2 linked regions of the Bombyx mori genome follow. Each later gene encodes a partner of the first gene's protein in a complex. Links are inferred from orthologs where the notes say so. Each region holds a gene or a part of one and is shown on either strand. Other genes may lie near its edges.

The links. Proteins that work in one complex are often made in the same cells at the same time.
Region 2: telomerase Cajal body protein 1 homolog (region 1) and H/ACA ribonucleoprotein complex subunit 3 share a complex: the UniProt entries of both Homo sapiens proteins name them as parts of the telomerase holoenzyme complex. The link is inferred for Bombyx mori from reciprocal best matches to the Homo sapiens genes WRAP53 and NOP10.

Annotation. Positions count from the first base shown.
Region 1 is NC_085124.1:10,449,866-10,454,976, forward strand, and holds the start of telomerase Cajal body protein 1 homolog, read left to right. Parts: upstream 1-1,711; 5' UTR 1,712-1,848; coding exon 1,849-2,285; intron 2,286-2,902; coding exon 2,903-3,091; intron 3,092-3,439; coding exon 3,440-3,600; intron 3,601-5,074; coding exon 5,075-5,111. UniProt on the Homo sapiens protein: RNA chaperone that plays a key role in telomere maintenance and RNA localization to Cajal bodies. Specifically recognizes and binds the Cajal body box (CAB box) present in both small Cajal body RNAs (scaRNAs) and telomerase RNA template component (TERC).
Region 2 is NC_085131.1:8,622,991-8,627,009, reverse strand, and holds H/ACA ribonucleoprotein complex subunit 3, read right to left. Parts: upstream 2,446-4,019; 5' UTR 2,313-2,445; coding exon 2,259-2,312; intron 2,189-2,258; coding exon 2,146-2,188; intron 1,576-2,145; coding exon 1,478-1,575; 3' UTR 1,046-1,477; downstream 1-1,045. UniProt on the Homo sapiens protein: Required for ribosome biogenesis and telomere maintenance. Part of the H/ACA small nucleolar ribonucleoprotein (H/ACA snoRNP) complex, which catalyzes pseudouridylation of rRNA.

The DNA of each region.
Region 1 (5,111 bases):
GCAGTAGCAATTGTTAATTAGTTATGTCGTTAATAATAAATTACAATTTGTAATAACGTCTTACGACCAACTTATAGCAAAATACACAACCAGTTTTCACAAATAATTAAATATACTAAAACAGAAGAGAATCCCTGCGATATTTAGGTTTTATTTTATTGCGAACTTTATCACATAAAAGTAAGTATTTTTGTTCGTTTCCGCTATTTATAGACACAATTAAAATTACTTTTACGATGTAATCTCACGTTTTTTACTGACATTAAATATACGACATTTAATTTTTGAATACTTTACAGTTTTCATGGTCACTGACGATATTTTAATGATGATGTTTTCTTGATTACGATCTTGATGATGACAATAAAAACCGCGAGATTATACCTTAACAGTAGTTTTAATTACTTAAAAATGTTCTTAAAGTTTTTAAACTTATATTATCAAAAGATTAGAACTATTTTTCATATGTTTACTGTACGAGTAATCACTGAAAATACTTTATAAAAATATATTTCACTTTCATCAATGTACTAATTTGATCAATAATGAATAAAGGTTATACCTACCGTCCTTGAACGAAGATAATAAAAATTGCGAGATAATATACTTTCCAAAGTAACTTTTTTGACTGCATTTCAGTTAATTTATTTTGAATTAATTGAAGCGTGACGTGTACAACCATTGAGTGAATTTTGATGATATTTTAAAATAAAACAAGCCACGCCACAGCGCCTTTAGTTGTGTGAGATCTGAATTTAAATACATAAAACATATAATAAAATCTCCGTGCTAACCTGCCTGAGAGACTTTGCTAACATCTACTGTAGCAAGAGTAGTGCTTTATTGAATTTATTGCCGGATCAGAATCGCGACCTACTGATAAGATCCGGTGAGAAACTCAAGGGTTGTGTCTGTGGGTTAATGTATAGTTGTGGTGTCACGGCGGAGCACACGTTCGCATACTGCCCCGCTTTCGCGAAGCAGCGCCGCACCCTCGTTGCAAAAATAGGTCCGGACTATGTGCGGCAGCGACGAGCCCTGGCAGGCGATGCTCGACTTCTGTGAGTCCACCATCATGCAGAAGGAGGCGGCGGAACGGGGAGAGAGAGCTCTTCTTTCCTCTCGGCGCCGGGCCACCGCCACCGAGCCGGGAATTGGAGGAGGGTGTTCGTCCAGCTCCAACCCCTGTGAAGAAGCAGTCTCCTCCCGGTGATGTTCACGGGGCGACCTGAGGTAGTCGAGGTTGCGCCACACGCTATTGTCACTGTAGCGTGCTGGCATGTGACGACGCATCTTCGGAAGCGGTCCGCGATGCGGTCCGCATTGCCGTCGTCGCTGTCGTCGTCGAACATACTGTGGAAGAGCAACCGTATAAGGGGCAGGGGAGTCGTTTAGTGCGGTAGGGTCCTTAAATAATTTTGGACCTACGGTCTGCTTCCAACATCTGCAGATCGTCAAGTCTCATATACCCTGCGTGCCCCCTAGGCGGGGGAACCTCATGGGAGGTTCAGCCCCCGGCCCCAAAAAAAAATTATGTTGTTATGTATGTACGACCGTTCTTGTGATTGATCATTCCCGATCTCGAGATTATATTTCATCCCATATCATCTCATTTCATTTCATTTCACTCCATATAATTATCATTTTTCATAAAAATAAGAATATTATAAATTAATATAAGACATGACCTAAAGATCTTAGTTACCAGGTCATAAAATCCCTTAAAAAAAAGTAAGGCGGTAAGGTCGATTGACGAACGACGATTTTGTTTTTATTTTGAAACCGTGAGCGGAATAATTGTCAATTTGTTATACATAATCACAAATTGTGTTGTGATCTACCTTTATTATGGAAAATTGGTCAATGGAGACACCATCAAGAATAAACGCTGAAAATATACCTCAAACCATAACTCAAAATCCGAGTGAACTTACATTGGGTTCGGCGTGTACAGAAAACGCTTTTCAATATCCAGCATTATTTACAAGCAAAAGCTTTCTTGAATTGTCCACTTGCTCGTGGTCAAGGGGTCGTAATGCTAATGAGAATATACAGCCTTATTTACGTGGATGTAAGTGGTCCCCAGATGGAACCTGTTGCTTAAGTGTTGTCAATAACGATGGTGTTCATGTTACCGAGCTTCCTAGTGAATTGTACCAGGGCGTTGTTTGTGGCGATCGTATAATCGATGTCTTAGAATCAGTGATACATTTAAAAGAAACAGGTTCAGTTTACGACTTCTGTTGGTACCCATTCATGAACAGCACAAATCCCCCTTCCTGTTGGTGAGTGAGATTTAAAACTCAATATTTGGTCTACAATGGAATTGATGTAAATATAAAATATCGTTACTTAAATATCAACCAATCTAAAAATTAAAAAAATGCTCAGTGCCTTATGACAAAGGTGTACAACCAATGTGTTTTACCAGTGATGACGTACGGTTCTGAGATATGGTGTTTCACAAGGGAACTTTTTAAGAAGCTTAGTGTCACACAGCAACCTATAGAGAGGGCTATGTTTGGTATTTCTTTATGAGATCGAATCAGAAATGAGGAGATCCATAGAAGAGCCAAACTTGTTACATAGCCCTAGGATTAGCAAGCTGAAGCGGCAGTGGGAATGCCATATAGTACGAAGATTGACAGCCGATGGGGCAGAAAAATCCTTAAATGGAGACCACGTACTGTCAAGTGCAGTGTGCCGTGTACCAGATGGGCTGATGACATAGTGGACATCAGTAGGAGAGGCCTATGTTCAGCAGTGGACAGGCTGAGATTATGATAAAATATCAATTTTAGTTTGTCAGTAAACATAATTTCTCTTCCTTTAAAATAAGGAGCTGAAATAGATTTCTTAAGAAATGCCTAACTTTCATGTAACTCAATAATTTTATTGACAGCTGGTTAACAACAAAACAAAATTCTCCCATACAAATGTGGGATGCATTTGATGGATCACTCAGATGTTCATACAGAGGATTCAATGCAGTAGATGAAATGGAACCAGCTTTATCAGTTAGCTTTACCTCAGATGGTAGAAAAATCATTGCTGGCTATAAGAAGCATTTAAGAATTTTTGATGTTGAGCGGTAATTCTTCATTATCAAATTTATCTTAAAACTTTAATTTCATGCTCAGTGTGGGTATTTAAGCAAAGCTTAGACTTGCTAATAACTACTTTATATCAAGGCAGGAAGCTTTTATCGTATCTATACTAATATAAAGAGAATTTGTTGTATGGAAGTAAAATCTTTTAATATACTCATTAAGTTAGTAATGTGCTCAAGATAGACAATTTTTTTATTTCTTTGATTGGTATACAACTAGGTTTTAAGTGATTACTAGAGCTCATAGACTTCAACAACATAATTGTTGCAATCCTGCCTGAGTTCTAGGTCTATTTTATTTGCTTGTATATTAATCAGTAAATTTTTTAGGCCTGGCAGAGAATTTACTGAGCAAAAGATTTCTAGTTCAGCATCTAGCATTTCAACACAAAATAACTTAGTTGCTGTTGGTTCTTGGAATACAACAATAACTTTGTATAATGAATCAGAAATTGGTACTAAGAAAATTGGGGACATGTATGGACATGGAGGTAAATAGCACTGAATAATTGGTGTAACGTTTGTTACATATTGTTATATATATACCCAATACCTATATATACCTAATCCAGCCATAAGTTCTGTTTCAAATGAAAATGTTTTTTTTTTAATGAAGTAAAAAGAAATGAAGTCAGCAAAAAATAAAGAAAAATATTCTACTTGAAATGGCCACCTTTGGCTTTTATACAGGCCTTTAATCTGTTTGGCCATGAAACTATGAATTTGCGCACTGTTTCCAAGGGAAATTTCACTGCTTGCTCCAAAGGTTTTTTAAGACTCAATGTCGCTGTATCGCTTAGAGCAGGCCATGTTCTCTAAAACTGACCATAATTTCAAGTCTAATGGTTGAGGTCTGGGCTCGGTGAGGCTGGACTTCAGCTCTTACAAAGTCTGGAACATTGGTTTCAAGCCAGGCTTGGGTAGTTCCTGCCTTGTGACCAGGTGCAGAGACATGCGGGCCAGTCCACAGTATATTTTTAAAAAGTGTATTGCTGAGAGGTTTTACAGCATAATCCAAGACATGGATACATGGACAATGATACACATTGACTGAAGTTTTCACTTTCTTTTTCACAAAAATATAGCTTGTGATTCCTTGATAAGACACGCCCCACCAAACCATCACTGATGCAGGATGATGACCACTTTGTACCTTTCCTACCATTTCAGCAGCTTCTTTAGAACTGTGAGTGTACACTTTATCATTTTGTTTATTGCAGTGTTCTTCAATAGTGAAATTTTTTTCATCAGTAAAGAGAATATTTCTGTGCCTTTCACCTGCATATCGCATCAAAAGGCATTTTCATTTATCCAATCACTTTAATTATAAAGATTGATTTAGGGTATATCCTGCGAGCTTCAGGTCTTGTTTTATAATACGCGACAGAGTCCTATCGGGAATCTTCATTTCTCGCTATAAGATATTTTGCTGCCTAATTCGACGGATTCTGGCTTTAACAGCATTAAGCCTTTGTAGTTGTAACAGGACGCGGCTGCACCGATCTTTTCTGGTCTTCGACAGACGAAGTGTTGTTTTATCTGTTGATAGTTCGATGTACCAACATAATGGCTGATACCTAGCATTTGAAGTGTCTGGAATATGACCGACGGCTCAATACCCACTTTGCGCAAGGCGATCACTGCAATCCTATTTTCCTTAACACCACATTCCTTTGTCATTTGATAATGAACACGAAAAAATATCTGAAATGGCGCAAAATCGAAAGAAGTTTTTAAAATAATATACATGTTCCAAATACAAAATAATTAAAAAGTTGAAAAAAAAGAAAAGTTTTTATGTAACAGTATTTATGGCCAGACTAAGTTATATAATAATATATAGCACAACAAGTATATATTTTTATCAGAAACCTTAAATCCTTTAAGTGCATTCATAATCATTTAGCATATTCATGAATATTCATTTGGCTTTGCGAAATGTTTTGATTTTTTCTATTGCTTCAGGTGGAGTAACGCACATGAAATTCATTCCTGGTACTTT
Region 2 (4,019 bases), on another chromosome or scaffold:
GGGCGCATGAAAAATATAAACACAAATACCTATATTAAAATTCAGACGTACCATAGGTATAAAAATGTACCTAGCGGCCAGGACATACGGTTCAAAATCACTAGGAATAATTCCGTGTCGCTTGCTCATTTATTTTGCGTCTATCGGTCTGTCTCGCTCGCTCTGTTCCGTTCATGTATTAAGCAACATTACACGACAAAGAAAGAAACATGTTGGGTGATAGTGTGATGTTTGTTTCCTTCGCGTAATGTGTGATGTTGCATTACATCGTAGAGTAATATTACCCGAGTAATATCACTCGCATTACTTACACATGTCTACACAATACGACCCGAGGCACGATAAAGTGATTCTCTTGCAAGACAATGATGCTCGGGCATACCTTGCGAAAACCGTTAAAATACTTGAAAACATTCAGATGAGATGCCATACCCTACCCGCCATATACTCCAGATGTTATGTCATCTGATTATTAGGTATCTCTTTGAAGGTCTGACTGACTAGCAGTTCTCATATGCCCTGCCCTGGTGAAACTGGAAAGGCCTACAGGGCACCAGTAATCCTTCAATCATATAAAAAATGCACACATCAAAGGGTAACTAAATCCGTGGATAGCCTCAGAAGTCAAACTCTATCATCAAGGAAATCTACTAAAATTAATTGTAATGCCATTATTAGACACTACACTTTATTCAACTTGTCCAAATACTAAAGGGAGTTGTGGCACATTGCTGTGTTCTTGTGAACATATTTAGCAGATGGTTTACTGGATGTTTAGCTAGAGATAAACTTCAGAAATACTGCCTACATAATCACTTTTTAGTAACCAAGATATATTTTTTCAGATTGAGTATATTCACTGTATAAAATTTCCTGGCACAGCCATGGCCATTTTTATCTGAGGCAGATACTGTAACACATGCTAATACTCTCCAGGTTAGAGCCCATTTATCAGTCATGGCTCGATTGTCCATGAAGGAAATTGGTGTATATACGGAACTATCAAGACTTGCTTTATAGTAGCTATAAATAATAAAAGCACACATAACATTACGACTATATTACAACATATATTTTGAAACTGCATTCATTTTACATAATCATAAGAAGAGATATTGTAATAAAAAATAAATTATATTAAATTTATAGCCTGGTTATCCTTTACATACTTCTCGACACACTGTGGAGAGTGAGATGAGTACTGCCACCATGACTTGGAATGATGTCAAGGAGCAAGGTCAAATGGAGAAAACTTGTAAGGGCCCTATGTACCAGTGGGGTAGCCTAGGATTACCACAATCAGATGAAAATCATTAGAAAAAGGAAGAGCAAGTCATAATAAAGTAATATATTTTGTAAGACCATTTGTGTTCTGTTGTATGCTAAATCCTGTGTGCCTTAGATTTTGAAAAGAATTGTTAAAATGTATCAAAATTTAGACCATTTTGGTAATTTTCAATACAAATCAATATTTATTTTAATGAATAGGTTCAGGTTGTTGTGTAAGCAGCAGGCCAAATCTCTTCTTGATTATTATTCTGTGTCTTGAGTATTTGTCTTCAGGAGAAAAACGAGCTGCAATAAAAACAATTGGATTATTGAAGTAAATTAGCCTGTTATTTTGTAGATGTGAGATTGTTTTTTGCTTTTTTTTAAATTTGATTTCATTAGCATATATCAGATGGAATCTCCAATTGTAATTTTCACCATCTTCAATAATTAATACATGATAAGATTGTGAGATTCAGGGATAACGTCTAACATGATTTTTTAGGATAAGAGGATGATTTTTGGCCGAAAACCTTTCAAGGCTTGTCAAGGTGGTTGTTATCCAACGTAAACAATCAGTTTCGATGGTTGACAAAAATGACATTATATTAAAAGCAGTCAATAATTTTATTACTTTGGCCTAATAAATACCAGTACAGGATAAAAGATAATTGAAGCAAATTGTTTTTAGTTCATAAACCATATTATTGTCTTAGTCTTCTATATTAACTAGATTAAATATATCTCAAGCATTTACAGCTTATTTCCACTATAAAACACTGTTATGCATTACCTATTAGGAAAACATACATAACCTTCTAACTTTTGAAAACAACGATTAATCACTAATAAACCATACTTGATGATGTTATTTACCTGGATGTGCTGACAATGTTGGTTTTCCAAATGGGTCGATGGTCTGAGAAAGTAAAAAGATTATTGATAGAATAATTAAACACATGTTGACGAGGTTACAGTACAATACTTACCGCTAATGTGTACTCTCTATCGCCTTTATCGTTTAAGTAATACCTGAGATACATTTTAATGTTATTAAAAATGCAAATAACAAAAACTACAACTAATTTAGCGCTATTTTATTTGTATGTGGTAATCCAGTAATTCCTCGTGTTTACTGTTCAGTGTTTTTGTGTCTCAAATATATTAAGTGTATAATCTATGTTTTTTTTTTTTTTTTTTTTCCCTACCTAAGCTGATAGCCCTAGCGGCTATTTCAGCGTAGCCTTAACTTTAGTAGGTGAGCTCACGGGGCTCAAACCTGACGATGTTGCTAACACGAACCCTAGCAAGAGTCGTGCTTCGCAGAATCTACCACCGGATCGGAAACGCGACCCACTGAGAAGATCCGGCGAGAAACTCAGTGGGCTGTGTCTGAGAGTTAATTTACTCGTCGAGCCCTTCGTCGCAAGCGACGGGTTCGACGAGAACGGTGACCGGTGGAATCTATGTTTTTGTGTCTTTGAGTTTATATAAATGACAAATGTATAATCTATGTTTAAACCACAGAGTAGGACAATTGACCATAATTTACCATAAAATCAGGGTGAATGAAGTTAGCCCCTCAAAAAAAATTTTTTTTCCTGTTTTCTACTTATTTTCTATTAATTCGTTTGTTCATCATTTGTTCTTGATTGTTCATTGTTAATAATTGTTTGTTCCCCATTTATTTATTTTAAAAAATATATTAAAAATATATCTAAAAGTTAGCCCCTCGATTGCAATTTTTAAAATTTTTTCGTCCTTAATTACTCGTAAATATTCATTTTCGATTGTTCTTATATAAAATACGTTTGTTCTCTTTCGAAATTACTCATTTTTTGTTTAATTAATTGTATTAGTTGAATAAATGTATACAAAATATGTGTACTGCGCATGCCATAAGTGTATAATCTATGGCGCATGCGTCAACTATAATGCCTAAACTTTCTACGCGGTTTTAATCGTGAAAAAAAAAACAATTATAAATCCTGAAGGATCGATTAATTGGTATACAGTTTAATTAAAAAAATTAAAAAATAAATAAATAAAATAATGTGCATTCGCGTAAAGTTAGACCAAATACATTTTTTCCATCCTCCTATATACCTATCGCTATGAAGATATAAAAAAGATAGGTTAAGAGTTCACATAGGTAATATAAACAAATAAGTAAATATGTTTATTATTTATCTTTCAAGAGATAATGTAGGTATACATTATAATAACATTTTGACACAGTCGAAATTATATTCCTAACATTAGTAATATAACATTTTAATATTTTTTTTATAGGTTATGTATTGAAATTGTTGGAAAATTATTTCATGTTTTAGCTGGAAAACTACATGGAGAATTATATGCAATACAAGATAATGAGCTCCATTAAATGAATTCGAATGAAACCAAACTGTTTACCATCCAAATTCGATTGTCGGGCAGATAGAAAACGAAAATTCACTCATAGTGAACCTCGGCCTGCATTTGTGAAACGGCAAAGACTCACTATTATCAAGGAAATTGAAGAGACGACTAAAAATGAGATGTGTCGTATTATTATACCTTTGCCATCTTGTAGTCAAGGTAGGTGTAACTGTCAATAATTAGTTACACTCACAGATCTCCTAATCAAATAACAATATCAGAAAAAATGAGAATAGTTAGTTAGTTAGTGGAAGTAGCCAAAATGGGCAAGTGGATCTCAGTTCCTATTACATAAGGTACTAGGAAGTTTGTGAAAATGAAAATTTATC